Linked DNA regions of Rattus norvegicus. The protein of the gene in region 1 interacts with the protein of each later gene in a pairwise test. Links are inferred from orthologs where the notes say so. Each region holds a gene or a part of one and is shown in the gene's direction. Other genes may lie near its edges.

Evidence for each region. The genes of interacting proteins can lie anywhere in the genome.
Region 2: the proteins of Washc3 (region 1) and Hsbp1 interact in binary tests that used the Homo sapiens proteins (3 or more experiments, as listed by UniProt). The two-hybrid records come from large-scale screens. The link is inferred for Rattus norvegicus from reciprocal best matches to the Homo sapiens genes WASHC3 and HSBP1.
Region 3: the proteins of Washc3 (region 1) and Pbxip1 interact in binary tests that used the Homo sapiens proteins (3 or more experiments, as listed by UniProt). The two-hybrid records come from large-scale screens. The link is inferred for Rattus norvegicus from reciprocal best matches to the Homo sapiens genes WASHC3 and PBXIP1.

What each region holds. Positions count from the first base shown.
Region 1 is NC_086025.1:24,521,313-24,525,908, forward strand, and holds part of Washc3 (WASH complex subunit 3), read left to right. Parts: intron 1-1,941; coding exon 1,942-2,049; intron 2,050-4,596. UniProt on the Homo sapiens protein: Acts as a component of the WASH core complex that functions as a nucleation-promoting factor (NPF) at the surface of endosomes, where it recruits and activates the Arp2/3 complex to induce actin polymerization, playing a key role in the fission of tubules that serve as transport intermediates during endosome sorting.
Region 2 is NC_086037.1:64,307,678-64,312,858, forward strand, and holds the start of Hsbp1 (heat shock factor-binding protein 1), read left to right. Parts: upstream 1-2,025; 5' UTR 2,026-2,113; coding exon 2,114-2,158; intron 2,159-2,456; coding exon 2,457-2,523; intron 2,524-3,209; coding exon 3,210-3,328; 3' UTR 3,329-3,330; intron 3,331-5,181. UniProt on the Homo sapiens protein: Negative regulator of the heat shock response. Negatively affects HSF1 DNA-binding activity. May have a role in the suppression of the activation of the stress response during the aging process.
Region 3 is NC_086020.1:177,154,750-177,159,881, forward strand, and holds the start of Pbxip1 (pre-B-cell leukemia transcription factor-interacting protein 1), read left to right. Parts: upstream 1-1,976; 5' UTR 1,977-2,011; coding exon 2,012-2,062; intron 2,063-5,132. UniProt on the Homo sapiens protein: Regulator of pre-B-cell leukemia transcription factors (BPXs) function. Inhibits the binding of PBX1-HOX complex to DNA and blocks the transcriptional activity of E2A-PBX1.

The sequences.
Region 1 (4,596 bases):
GAATGGTGTTCATTATAGACATTAACTTAGCCATTTCACATGAACTCCTGGCTTGATTTCTTTGATTGTGCCACTTAAAAGTCTGATATAAACAACATGGTTACAAATTAAGCTGTTATGTGGTTCACATTATTTAATGGAAACTCAAAATTATTTGTAATGTAGCAAGTGGAATAAAACTTAAATGTTTCCAGAGTAAAATGTATTGACACTCTCTGATATTTTTATTCATATATACATATTGAAAGTTATGAAAGTATTGGAAGAATACCAGTTTAAAATCACAAATTACAGAGAAGCTGGGTACATTTGTTCATGATGGTAATCCTAGTACTCAGGAGGCTGAAGCAGGAGGATAATGAGCTTGCTGGCAGCCTGATCTATCCAGAGAGGGAGACTGACTCCTGACCCATCCAGAGAGGGAGACTGTCTCTTTTTAAAAAAAGAAAGAAAGAAAAAACAAAACAAAGCAACAAGCCGAAGGTCCCAGGTTACTTGGGGAAATAACTTGTGTTTAAAGCTTAGAGATTTTGATAACTAACGGGCACTTTCAGTTTTAGCTGGGTTTAATTTGTAATGCTATGCATGCTCTTCCTGTTCGTGAGGTAGAGGGTTTAATCCTACAGTATTTTTGTAATTGTTATCCTCCCTTCCCTGAAACCCCATAAAAGTGTACAGTGGCCATGTTTTCTAATTGATCAAAATATTTACTGAATATTTGAGTGGAAATTTTTATGCTCACATTACACTAAGGAAGTGAAGGTAGGTATGTATACTTTCTCTGCCCTCTCTGGACTTCAGCAAGTATGTCTGTTGCCTTATCACATTTCTCTGGCATAGAAATTTAGAGCACCTGGCCTTGAACATGCTGGGGACATTGTGTCAGTCACAACTATACCCACTTGTGACTTTGGGGCCACTGCCACTTTGCTAAGCACTGTCGTCAGTCAGCACTTCACAATGACTTTTGCTGCCCGAGATCCTATCATCGGGGAGTTCTTTCTTATGCCCTTTCTCATGACTGAACCTTATTTAACAGTTGGGAATGTTAAGGTGCTGCCATCCAAGGACACAAGTTAATGTTTCTGTGTGGGCCAGCTAACCTTAGCATTTCCCTGGCCATAGTACAGTGTCCACAGTCAGCCAAACAGCTGACAAACACGTGTCGTGTAGCACCAGGACAAAAGCAGGGAGAGTTTTTATAACACTAACCCAAATGCTTATCTTTTTTGTTTTGAATGTTTACCATTTAAGTCCGAAATGTTGACAATATGTCCATTTGTTGTGTATGAAGAGAACATATTTAGGTAATATTCAAGGATAAATGTTTAAAGAGAGAAAAACAAGTTATATCATATGTTAAAATGTAAAGACACTTCTCGTACAATTAAAGCTTAAAATTGGCTAGGGAGGTGACTCAGTTGGTGAAGTACCTGAGAGACTGAGTTCAGACTGGAGAAGGGAGGACCCAGCAAACGCAGCCAACAAGGAGCTACACACACAGACACACATGCAAGAGAATGGTGTGCCACAGAGTACTTTTCATTAGCAAGGTGTTTTTAATAAAAATATTCAGAATAGTTTTATAAGGAAAATGTTCTCATCCCCTATACAGGTAACAAAAGTGGGAAGGTGAGCCTGTGACCCACATATTAGCACTTTAGTACCCTTCGGCAGTCAGAATCCAAAGCCCATGTTTTCAATCCTCTGGAGTCTGTAGGCTGAGCAATACTTTGTAGGGAAAGACGAGTTATCAAATAAATTAAACTTTGGTGGGGGGGGCTCTCCCAAAGAACAGTGAATGTTTTTCACTTTTAACATACGGCATGGGAAGTAGGATGAACGTTCTGAACCTATACAGTTTTGTAGATTTAAGGGAGCTAAGAATCCACAGTTCAAAAGTTTTGTTTGCATATGCCAACACTAATTCACGTTTCTCAGCTGTCATCTATCCCAGGCCTAGAGGATGTCACAGTTGACATGTCTCCTTTAAGTGTCACTGCTGTCACAAATGGATCACATTCTGAAACCACTGCTGAGCAACTGCAGGTAAGCATCCGAGTTACAAGACTGCAGGACATCAAGGTTGAACAGGAGCCGACACTAAAGACATGTAAAATGTTGTAGTCAAATCATGAAACTTTAAGCTACAAAGTGCACACACACACACACACACACACACACACACACACACACACACATCAGACCAAAATTAACAAGACCCAAAGTCTATATATTTCAATGAACTGAAAAACATGTAGATTTTGAGGTTGACTTGTTTGAATCTGCATTCTACATCATGATAAGAGTCACTAAATAGTCAGCTTTTATGCCATATATTTTTTATGCTTCAGTACATTTAAGTTTTTTACTATTTATTTTAAAGTCTCCATTGTATATACATCTCAGTGAGGTACTAAAATATGAAACAAATTAACCACCAAAGTGGTGAGCCACTAGAACAGTATCAGCAAAGTCGTCACCCTGTGTAGGTACATTTTCCGTTTGTACCTGGATGTACTCACACATTGTGACTCCTCAGAAGAACCCTCCGGCCCTGGTAGTTGTTCTTCTGCGCCTGATTCCCCATCTCGGGATTCACCTAGGCAACCTTGAGAGTATTTCAGAAAAAAAGAGTTTGCATCTCTAGTAAACAAACGTGAACTCCGTCATTAGTCCTTAAACAGTGCAACTGTTTCCACTGTCATAGACACCATAAGTAATCTAGAGTAAGCTAAACTCAGACCAAGGCCACTTCAGATAGGAGATTCTAGCAGATTTCAGTATTGGGGTCTGGAACCGGACCCCTGCAGATCTCAAAATACCTATTACTGTTAATCATACCTGAACTTCTTAATTGGCTTTGCAGATTCAGAATCATCTTTTGTATGTCTGACAGTTTTAAGTTGTAAATTAGTTTGTTTAGACTATCTGGAAGTTCCTGTGGCCTTCCTGATTTATCCAGTTGTGCTGATCAGCCTAATAAAAACACACCTAAGGCATGTTAACATTCAGATTGGCTCCTCTTGTTTTCTTCGGCGACATTACCTAGTGTAGTTTTAGATAAAGTATTTTGGAGCCAGGTGGTGCAGTCCTAGCACTTGGGAGGCAGAGGCAGGTGGATCTCTGTTAGTTTAAGGCCAGCCTGGGCTGAGTAAGTTCAAGGACAGCCAAGGCTATGAAAAGAAACCCATTCTCAAAAAGCCAGTGCGTATGTTTATATATGTAGTAGATAGAATACTTTGAAGGAACTAAATACTGCTTTATGAAGATTTTCATGGTTATGAGTCAAGTCAGCTATGCACGTTTGATATACATGCATGCATAGCCCTGGCCCGAGGGAGGTGAGTGCGGGAGAATCAGGAGTTCAAGGTCATCCCTGGCTAGATAGTGAATTAGAGGTCAATCTACAAGAAATCTTTGCCTCAACACAACACAATAACAAAACCACCCATTTATCACTCCTTCTGAACTGTGAGTCACAGCCCTGAGCTGTGCATTCTGATTCATACAACTTTACTCTCATGACTCAGATGCTGTCTTCGTTTGCCATAGAATATCCAGTTGTACAGATTGAGATCAATTGGAGACTGAAATGAAGGGCAGTTGAGAGAAGGGATTATGATGCCTAATGGACCGTTCACATAGGAACGCATGCCGGCGTGTAATTAAACCCTGCCAGGCACAGAGTAGCAGCTGGAAGCTGACGACTGCTAGACCCGACGGAGCTCTCACTCGCTCTGCGGAGCTTGGACGAGCCACGCATAGACGTTTAGAAATGCACCTGGATCTATCTCTCTTATGTTCATGGGTGATGATGTCTCAGACTTCTGTGTTAACTGTTTGCAGATGAATATTTACACTCACGTATTTTCACTCTCCTTTGTAACACTTAACAATATTACCTAGCATAAGAACCTAAAGAATTTGTGTTTGTTTTATTGCTACAGAATTCTGTTTTCTTTTTTAAGATTTGGCTTACATATACATTTTGTTAGAAAAATTCAATATACAAACATAACTTAGATTCATATTCTCAGTACTACAGGTTTTTTGTTTTGGTTTGTTTTGTGAGACAGGATTTCTCACTGTGTAGCCCTGGCTGTGCTGGAACTTGCTCTGTAGACCAGGCTGGCCTTGAACTCAGAGATCCACTGGCATCTGCCTCTCGAGTACTGGAGTTAAAGGAGAGTGCCACTGTGCTCTGATGGGACTGCAGATTTTTAAAATATTAATTTGTCTACATCTTAGCATAGATATATTGACATGAACTAATGGCATCTGTGGAAGAAACTCCTTGTGACAGTTGTGCCAATGCCGAGTGAGGGTGACAGAAGCCAGCTTATTCTAGTGTTCAGATTGGCACAGAAGCCGAGTGCTGTGGTATTGTGTGCTGTATGAATCTGCACTTCGCACTTAAGCTAGGGCAGGGCGTCCCTGTGCTCGGGTGACTGCGCAGTGCTGTGCAGTGTCAGGAGGACCATTATTTAAAATCGCCACCGACTCTAGTATTGAGTGTTTTGGCCACTCTGCTGACTTTATTACCACTGATAAGCACTCTTCAACACAAAATGTACATGAGCAGACAACCTTGTT
Region 2 (5,181 bases), on another chromosome or scaffold:
TAGGGAGCAGACTTCAGAAGAACACACAGTAAGTAAATAACTTAGGGAAGGTCACAGACCTGGTCCCTTTTGGAGCTGGGCCTCAGCCTGGGTCTGGTGGACTCTGGAGTTCTCTGTTTCTCTCCTTTGGTAAACTGTTTCCCCGCCTGTAGCCATCCATGTGTCTGTACAATTCACTGTAAGGTAGGAACATGGAGAACTCTGTTGTGTTGGCTCTGCAGAGGGAATCAGCCACTCCTCCCGTCCTGTCTAGAACCTTCCTTAAGCTGCTCAACTCCCAGTAACAGCCCCAAGGTAGAGAGGGACAACCTTATATCCTAGCGAGTGCCTTCACTAGTTTGCTAGACTCAGACACATCCCTCCCTCCCCAGTCCATTTGTGTAAAGAACACCTTTGTTCTGTTCATTGCTGTGAAGAGACACCATAACCACAACAACTCTTATAAAGGAAAATATTTAACTGGGACTGGCTTACAGTTCAGAGGATTAGTCCGTTATCATCATGGTAGGCAGCGTGCAGGCAGACATGGTGCTGGAGAAAGAGCTGAGAGTTCTACATCCAGATCCCCACGCAGCAGGACATGACAGCGACACAGTGGCCAGCCTTGAACTTCTGAGACCTCAAAGTCCGCCCACTAGTTACACACCTCCTTCCACGAAGCCACACCCACTCCAACAAGGCCACACCTCCTAATAGAAGTTCCGGTCCCTATGGGCCTATGGCGGCCATTTTTATTCAAATTACCACAGTATTCTATCCCAGCTTCCTTCACTGTGAGTGGCATATGTCACTAAAAATGACTCAGCGCATCTAAGGAACCTGGAAAGTACTATCTGAACATCAGCGCCCTGTCAACTCAGGTCCGCACCTGTGGCATAAGCCTCCCAGTTCACTGTTTGCTGACACGGCCCCCTCTTCTACACAAATGGAAACCTGCAAGCTTAGCACCAGGCAGTCATATCATTGAGAGAAAGAAGCCAGGTCAGACTGTACTTACATCCCACTAAAACACTCGCAAAGCTGGGTCTGCTGTGCTGCGCCCCATCCAGGTGGCAGGGAGATTATCTGAGCTTGTTTTGTTTATTTGGTGCTGGACTTTTTATGCAGGGCATGTGTTTAGCCCCTGGGTACATTTCATTACCTCCTCCTTTAGCTCGTTAGGTTTTTGTTTTGGTTCTGAGAAACAGGGTCTCGCTAGGTTTACCCAGGCAGGCCTTGAACTCAATTCAGAATCCTCCTGGCCCATGTCTTCTAGAATATAAAACTGGGTTCTTGGTGAAAAGGGGCATCCTGCCAGTGTACCCTCAAACTTTAATGTTCCGGGTCTGGGGGTTGTTCCGTTCTTATAATTTATTTATTTTCATTTTATGTACATTAATGTTTTGCCTGCACGACTGTCTGTGTGAGGTTGTCGGTCTCCTAGAACTGGAGTTGCAGTTTTGAGGCACCATGTGGGTGCTGGGAAATGAACCCAGGACCTCTGGAAGAGCAGTGAATTCTCTTAACCACTGAGCCATCTCTCCAGCCACCTAATGTTTTTTAGTAGTAATAGTACAATTACTTATTTTGTGTGTGTGTGTGTGTCTGTGTGTCTGTGTGTCTGTGTGTCTGTGTAGTGTGTGCATGCATGTGACAGCAATGCGCAGGGCAGAGATCAATTTGTGAAAGTTGAGTTTCTTCTTCCAACATGCGGGTCACAGGGATCGAACTCACAGTTGTCAGACTTGGTGTCAGACGCTTCTTCACCCGCTGATTCGTCTTGCAAGGCCTGGGTGTCTGACAACATCCAGGGAAGAGGCCAACGCTAATCCCTATAACTTTGGCCCATTTCCGGTGTTTTTCCTTCTCTTCCGCTCCGTGCAGCCTGCAGGGTGGAGCTGGGCAGGGGATGGAGGCGGAGCTAAGAACTGGGTGGGCGTAGCTTATCCGCAGACAGGACGCTCTGAAGCCTCCTAGGACCTTCCGATGCGTGACGGAAACTACAACACCCATAATGCCTCGCGACCCCCGTGACTGTTGTCGCGAGAACTGTCGGCTTGTGGGCGTCTGCGCCAAGAAACCGAAGTCTAGGTGACGGTTCCGAGACATCGCCGCCAAGCTGGGCACCGGAGAGATGGCCGAGACGGACCCCAAGACAATGCAGGACATCACCTTGGTGGTAAGCCGCATCCTCACATGGGCCCGGATACTCCGGGTCTGCTTTCCGCCCTGGCCTGGGGTGTGGCCAGCGGCCTCGGCCCGCACACCTGCGAGGCTCGCCCTCCCCTCGGCCCTGGCCCGGACCCTCCCGACCTGACCCGCAGGGACACGGAACCGACCGGGCAGGCCCTTGCGGAAGGCCTCGCACACCAGCCGGGAGCCCCCATAGCCCGCGCCCTCGCCTCCCCACTCACGTCCCAGGAAGGGGATCTCTGAATAGGCTGGAAACGGCTGACTTGTTCTGGTTTTTCTCTCAGGTGGAGACGCTCTTGCAGCAGATGCAAGACAAGTTTCAGATTATGTCGGATCAGATCATCGGAAGGAATATCCTTTTGACTTGGAGGCAGTTTCTTAACTGTGGGGATGAGCGGGTGGTTTACAAACAGACTATAATTAGTCATCTAGAAATTGCCTTTTTCCAGAGAGTTCATTATTTTTAATTATATGTATAAGGGGGTACTGGGAGTGACTGAGACCAGAGGCGTTGGATCCCCTGGAACTGGAGTAACAGGCGGTTGTGAGCTGCCCAATGTGCATACTGGGAAGTCCCCTGAAAGAGCCTCGAGTGTTCCTAACCACTGAGCCATTTCTCCAGCCCCACTTAGAAATGTCTTTACTGATCTTGGCTATGTTGTGTCCCCATGGAGAACCGTGTCAAGATCCAGAGACACAGCTGACTACCCAAGCCCCTGTTGGGGGCCCTCCAGAACACCAGTAAAGGGGTTTACTTGGTAACCATTGGCTGGGAGTGCTCATGGAGCCCTCCACCCTCCAATTCTCTTTGTAACCTTACCAACAGGAAACGGGGTCCTCTGGGATTAAGGGTTGAAGAAACTGAGGCATAGGGTAGAGAACTCAGCCCAGTCCCCTGGACCCCTGACTGCCGGGCTGTCACTGTAGCCGGATGAAACTGGGAAAGCAGCTGCTTAAACCAGTCTGCAGGGACCTGGAGGGGAGAGACAGAGGTGAGGTGTTGCTGGTCTGGTGGGTGGGCTCTTTAACTGCACCACTCGATGACATGAGCAGCCGAATCGATGACCTGGAGAAAAATATCGCTGACCTCATGACCCAGGCTGGAGTAGAAGAACTGGACGCTGAGAACAAGATTCCTACTGCCCAGAAGAGTTGAAGGTGAGAGAGCAGGGGTGCCTTAGCATAAACACAGAGAGTGGTCCGGAAATGGGATCTCTGTGTCGCTACCCAGCAGTCATCTCCCTCCACCCCTCCCAGGGACTCCCAGGTTTCGACATGTTCCCATGCCAAACAGATTCCTTGGGTGGAATTCACATTTCCAAGTTGTATTCAAACTTAACTGTATCGTGCCAGGCAGGTGCGAACCTTACTCGTCACAACACAGTGATGTCAGCTATGAGGCTCACACCTGGAAAGAAGGAAATCGACAGCAAAAGACAAAATACTTTTTTCTTTTAAAGATTTAGTCAAATATGAGTGTTTTGCCAGCATATGTACCCCATGCTATGGGAGGCGGGAAGAAGGCATCAGATCCCCTGGTACTGGAGTTAGAGACAGAGCTTGCCACCACGTGGGTGCTGGGAACCAAACCTAGGTCCTCTCCAAGAGCAAAAGTGCTCTCAACTGCTGAGCCACGTGTAGCCCCTTGACGGGTTCATTTTAAGTAAGTGGACAGTTTGTGATGGCCTCACTCGACCCTAGGCACTGCCCTGGACATTCCTGGGACTTGGGCCCCTGTCTGGCTGGTAAGCAGCTCACTGAGGACCACTGGGTGGTGGCATTTGGGGCAGTGGGGGGGGAGGTTTTGGGGGGGATGTTTGGTGCTCTGCCCTGATCACTGAAAGATTATCTCATTGTTTTGTTTTTGGAAATAGAGAATTCAAGCCACCTTCATGAGTATATATCTTAAGTTCTACAGGCGTGTGTGTGTGTGTGTGTGTTTGTATGTTTGTGTGTGTGTGTGACTTTTATTGTAGAGTCTTTCCTTTTTTTTTTTTTTTTTTTCGGAGCTGGGGACTGAACCCAGGGCCTTGCGCTTGCTAGGCAAGCACTCTACCACTGAGCTAAATCCCCAACCCCGAGTTGATGTCTTTAAAACCATCCAGTGTGGTGAATTTCTTCCTTATACCCTGCACCTGGGTTTGTTGGAGGAGAGACCAACAACCCCCCTCTCTTTTTTTTTTTTTTTTGAGACATAATTTCTTTAAAAGATTTATTTATTATATATAAGTACAAACATACCAGAAGAGGGAATCAGATCTCATTGCAGATGGTTGTGAGCCACCATGTGGTTGCTGGGATTTGAACTCAGGACCTCTGGGAGAGCAGTTGGTGCTCTTAACCACTGAGCCACCTCTCCAGCCCTGAGGCACTCTTATTATGCAACCCTGCCTTGTTGGCCTAGAACTTGCTCTACAGACCAGGATGGCCTCAAACTCAAAAGCGCTCCACCTGATTTGCCTCTGCCTCAAATATTGGGATCTTACATACCATCTGTGTCGTCTTAGATGACGTTTATCAAGGATTTTGTGTGAGAATATCAAGATAATATATAATGGATGATTCTTAGCCCCCTTCTTACTTTCTGGGCGTGGGCCGGAACAGCTTTTCAGTGACTGAAATAGAGGTTGTTCTGAAATCCAAGAGACTGTTTGGGGTTGGGAAGGTCAGATAACGACCAGCACGCGTGGCTCCCTCGCTATGAGTTATGTAGTATATCATAGTCCTGTCCACAGAGGAGCTGCACTGTGGACAGGGGGTCTGGGAGCTGCTGGGGAGCTGTGCTGTGTTGTGGTGGAAAAATCCCATTAGTCAAGAACAGAAGATTGTAGGGTTGAAGACGTTGGACTGATGGCGAAACACAAAGAAGGAAGTGAAAACGGGAGGCGGAGTCAGAACTCGGAAGAAAGCTGTCTGAGTAACAGACTGGGGACATGGCTCAGTGCTAGAGCTGGTATGCGCTCGTAATGGACCCCAGGGCGGTTCCCAGCTGTCCCTTGAGGCCGCTCA
Region 3 (5,132 bases), on another chromosome or scaffold:
CAAATACCATACCATTGCCGGTTTCCATGGAGACAGTGGGTCTGACATCACCCTGGTTGCCATGGGGCTTAGTTCTGGAGGACCTGAGCAGGCTGTAAACAGCCAGGGATAAACAGGGACTTCTGCTCAAGCGGCTGTGGCCACTTCCTTCCTGCTGCCACCTGTTAACAGTCACACATAGCAACTGGGGATAGCAGGACAGTGGAGGGGTGAGAGCAGAAAGCTGAAGGAAGATGGCTGTGTGGGTGTCACTAGAAGAAGGAGTGTGGGGAGCTCGTTTTTTTTTTTTGGGACTTGGTATAGGGAAGTCATTGCAATTGTTCTGTCCCTGTGTGGGATGGGTGCCGGTGTCTAGGAGACATGAGCATTGAGGAAGATGCCACTAGATGTCCTTTACCTATCTTGGGCTTGAATCTTGACCAACAAGAGCCACAGGATTTTTTAAGGTAATCAAACAGGACTTAAACCCAGCTGGAGTAGATGGGGAGCCTTTGACTGGTACAGTCAAATTCTACATTATGCCACTGGGGAAGCAGTCACATACCTGTGTCTGAATCACAGTCCAGGACTCTGTGGGTCAGCTGTCTGTCACTCCATCCTCTTGCTTGATCCCAGTTGCACTTCCCTAGCACAGCCTTGCTTCACGCTGGTCTTTGGAAGTGGGGGGCGATACCTTAACCCCAGCTGCCCTCCAAGATGATTAGCAAGGGACAAGATCAGAGACCCAGTTTTGCCCCCTCCCATTTTGCAGACTTTAATGTGATTTATTGATGGTAATTGCCACCCCTCCCCTTCTCCCCAATTACTTTTAAGATCCCTGAGATCAAACTCTCTAGACTTTAAGGTTGAGAGAGACCCAGGTGGACCACTGGGCCCTGCAGTGTTAGAAGGCTTCCTGCCTGACCTGATCCTGCTCACTTCAGTGGCGATCCTAGCCGAGCCCTGCACAGCTAGTGCTGAGAACCCCAAAACCAGTGGTTCCCAACCTTCCTAACACTGTGACCCTTTAATACAGTCCCTTGTGGTGACCACCAACTATAAAATTATTTCATTGCTACTTCATAACTGTGACACTGCTACTGTCATGAATCCTAATGTAAATGTCTGATATGCAGGACATCTGACATGTAAGCCCTGTGGGGTGTCGACTCACAGATTGAGAAAGTGCTGCACTGAACCAAGTGCATGGAGGACTGATGGTGGATGGGTACTGGGACACTTAGGCCTTAAGGAGGTTGGTAGGCTTCTCTTTGGGCTCTGTGGGAGGACACTGGGGACTATGGAGGACCCAGGTCTCTCTTTATTCAGTCAGCCTGTGAGATTCCTCCTTCCTGGCCAGAACACCAGGGGCTGGACTTTTCAACCCTTGTCTTCTTTGAATTTTTAAGGCCAGTGCAGTTTCCCAAGGCCCTATGGATCCTTGAATGAGGTAGCTTCTCTGTGACTTTTGTTAAGGTGAACACGGCCAGGAAAGCTGTGGGGTGCAGGGCAGAAGGACTGGGACCAGCCTGGGTTTCTGAGGAGATTGCACATCTTTTGATGCCTGGAATCCTGCTGCCGCTGTCTGCCTCTCCTGAAGGAAGCTCCCCTCCCCCTCCCTCTCCCCCTCCCCTCCTCCTCCCTCTTCCTCTTCTTCCTCATCCCCCTCTTCCTCCTCCCCCCTCTTGCTCCTCTTCCTCCCCCTCCTCCCTCTTTTTCCTCCTTCCCCTCTTCCTCCTCCTCCCCCTTCCTCCTCCTCTCCCTCTTCCTCCTCTTTATCCTCCCCTCCTCCTTTTCCTCCTCCTCTTCTTTCTTCTTTTTCTTCCTTCTTCCTTCCTCTTTCTTCTTTTTTGGTTGCGTCTTTGAAACAAAATTCATCTGCATTACCCTGACTATCCGGAACTTACTCTGGCATCACACTCAAAGAGCCACTGGGATGAAAAGTGTAGGCCTCCATGCCCAGGAACTCCATTCTTAAGAGAGCTTTTTTCTCTGCAGGCGGCCACTCTAGCTGCACTGGACCTCCACAACTATGGCCTCCTGCCCGGACTCAGATAATAGCTGGGTGCTTGCTGGCTCTGAGGTAGGAAGAGTGGGCCTGGGAACTCCATGGGAGAGGGGATTCCTACAGGGGTGGACTGCTTTGACTGGAACCTGCAGGAATGAGTGTCCAGAAGAGCAAGGTGTTGCGTGAGAGCACCAGGGATTAGGGACTGAAGAAGATGGACACAGTATCTGGGACCAAGAGGTCTCACACAGTGGATGACTGCCGCGAAATGAGCTTGTTCAGAAGTACAGCGTCGTACATACAATTTACAGGGAGATGGCCAAGGTCAGCAGCAAGCTAAATCAGACGGTGTTGGCAAAGAACACAGGGTACCTCAGACACCGCTGCCTTGGGATTGATAACCACAGTCTAGGGGAAAGAGTCAAATCACCAGAAACTGCAACCTTGACGCCTTCAAGACACTGGCTCTAGTCCTAGACAAGCATTGCCAAGTCTGTTCATGAACAGGGACACAGAACTAAAGTTTCCTTTGTCCTTTGATCAGTCTTGGGTTGTCCTGGCTGCCCACACTGCTTTCTGGATCTGTCCTGTTTTCTTAGTCCGGATGGTCATGGCAGAGTCCCTGTTGGCTCTCCTGAGGCTCCAGAGGAGGGAGGAGATCTGGCACAGAGCTCTGGTGTGGGGCTTGGGCTAATCTGGGAAGAAGGGACCAGATAGGTAGGCTGAGAGAAGCAGAGAGGGACTTCTGGTGTAACCCCAGCAAGAGTAGGGTCGTGAGGTGACAAAGGGGAGCCGTGTTGAGACTGAAGAGCCTTAGGATCAGGGGAAGACCTGCTATACACCATTTTGGAAGGGCCTCTTCGAGGGTGATGAAACACCATGACCAAAGCAACTTGGGATGAAAGGGTTTATTTCAGCCTATACCCCAGGTAACAATCCATCACTGAGGGAAGGAAGTCAGATCAGAAACTCAGACAGGGCAGGACCTTGGAGGCCAGAGCTGATGTACCCCTGGAGGGATGCTGCTCACTGCTTTGCTCTCCATGGCTTCTCAGCCTGCTTTCTCCTAGAACCCAGAGCCACTAGCCCAGGGACGGCACCACCCACAATGGGATGGGTCCTCCCCCATCAATCATTAATTAAGAAAATGCTCTGTATTGGAATATCCAAGATATAATTCACAAACCACGTGAAGCTCAAGAAGGAAGACAGAAGTGTGGATGCTTCAGTCCTTAGAAGGGGGAACAGAAATACTCACAGGAGGAAATATGGAGACAAAGTGTGGAGCAGAAACTGAAAGGCCATCCAGGGACTGCCCCACATGGGGATGCATCCCATATACAGCCACCAAACCCAGACAGTATGGTAGATGCCAAGTAGTGCTTGCTGACAGGAGCCTGATATAGCTGTCTCCTGAGAGGCTCTGCCAGAGCCTGACAAATAACTGAGGTGGATGCTCGCAGCCAACCATTGAACTGAGAACAGGGTCCCTATTGGAGGAGTTAGAGAAAGGACTGAAGTAGCTGATGGGGTTTGCAACCCCATAAGAAGAACACACTATCAACCAACCAGACCTCCACCCCAGAGCTCCCAGGGACTAACCCACCGTCCCAAGAGAACACAGGGATGGACCTATGGCTCCATCCACATCTGTAGCAGAGGATGGCCTTGCCAGGCATCAGTGGGAGGAGAGGCCCTGACCCTGTCAAGACTGATGCCCCAGTGTAGGGGAATGTCAGGGCAGGGAGGTGGGAGGGAGCGGGTAGGTAGGTGAGGGAGCACCCTCATAGAAGCAGGGTGGGGGGGTGGGGGGATAGCAGGTTTATGGAGGGGAAACAGAGAAATGGGATAACATTTAAAATGTAAATTAAAAATGCAATAAAAAATACTGAAAAAAAAAGAAAGGAAAAAAGGGGGAAAAAAAAAAGAAAGAAAATGCTCTATAGACTGGCTACAGCCTGATTTTTTTTTTTTTTTTTTTTTTTTTTTTGGTTCTTTTTTTTCCGGAGCTGGGGACCAAACCCAGGGCCTTGCGCTTCCTAGGCAAGCGCTCTACCACTGAGCTAAATCCCCAACCCCAGCCTGATCTTATGAAGACATTTTCCCAGCTGGGGTTCTTGCCTCTCAGATGACTTGAGCCTGTGTCAGGTTGACACAAAATTAGCCAGCACATGTGTCATCTGATGAGTAGACAGTGCAGGGCTGCTGAGTTGGAGAGTAGCCTAACATTCAGTGTCATTGGCAGGGGACCAAGCCTCTGTGTGGCTGGGTGAGGACAGGGACAGTGCTTTCAGAGCTCCTACAGCTCCCAGGTTAGGGCAGGAGACAGGAGGGCTGCTGGTACGGGGATTGGCTAGAGAGGGATGACAGGAAGGGTCGAAGGATCTCAGGCTTCCTTAGAACTACTAGGAGGAAGGGGCTGGGGATTTAGCTCAGCGGTAGAGCACTTGCCTAGGGAGCGCAAGGCCCTGGGTTCGGTCCCCAGCTCCGAAAAAAAAAGAAAAAAATAAAACTACTAGGAGGAGCTGGACAGAGTGGAGCAAAAGCTGCGATCATGCTAATTGGGAGATGGAGGCTGGAGGATCAGGTCAGGGTTATCCTTGGCTACATAGCAAGTTTTGGGATACATGAGACCTTGTATCATAAAGGAACAAATAAAAATCGGTAGCTAAAGAAGCCACAGAACTCCATTTAGACTTGCTGGGTTTGAGGTGCCCTTTAGGAGACCGACCAACAGGGGAAGGAGGTGAGGAATTGACCTCAGCAGTGACCCTAGAGTAGACTACAAGGACCAGTGCCCAATGGTGGGGAGTAAGATAGGCCCTGTGCTCAGTGGGGCCTGGTCTCCTGTCATGGTGCCTTTGCTGACAGCAGGGGACCTGGGCCAATATTTCACCTGCTCATCCTTTACTATAAACCAGCCTTGTGATCCTTGCCTTGCAGGGGTAACCTGAGAAAAATAAACGTGATTTGTAAATTGCCAAACAGCATACTGAGGTCAAAAGTCAGTCTAAGCCAGGTATGGAGTGCACACCTCTAATCCCAGCTGTCAGGAGACAGAGGAGGCGGATGGAGCTCTGTGAGCCTGAGGCCAACCTCATCTACATAGTGAGTTCTAGGATAGCCAGGACTATGTAGAGAGTCT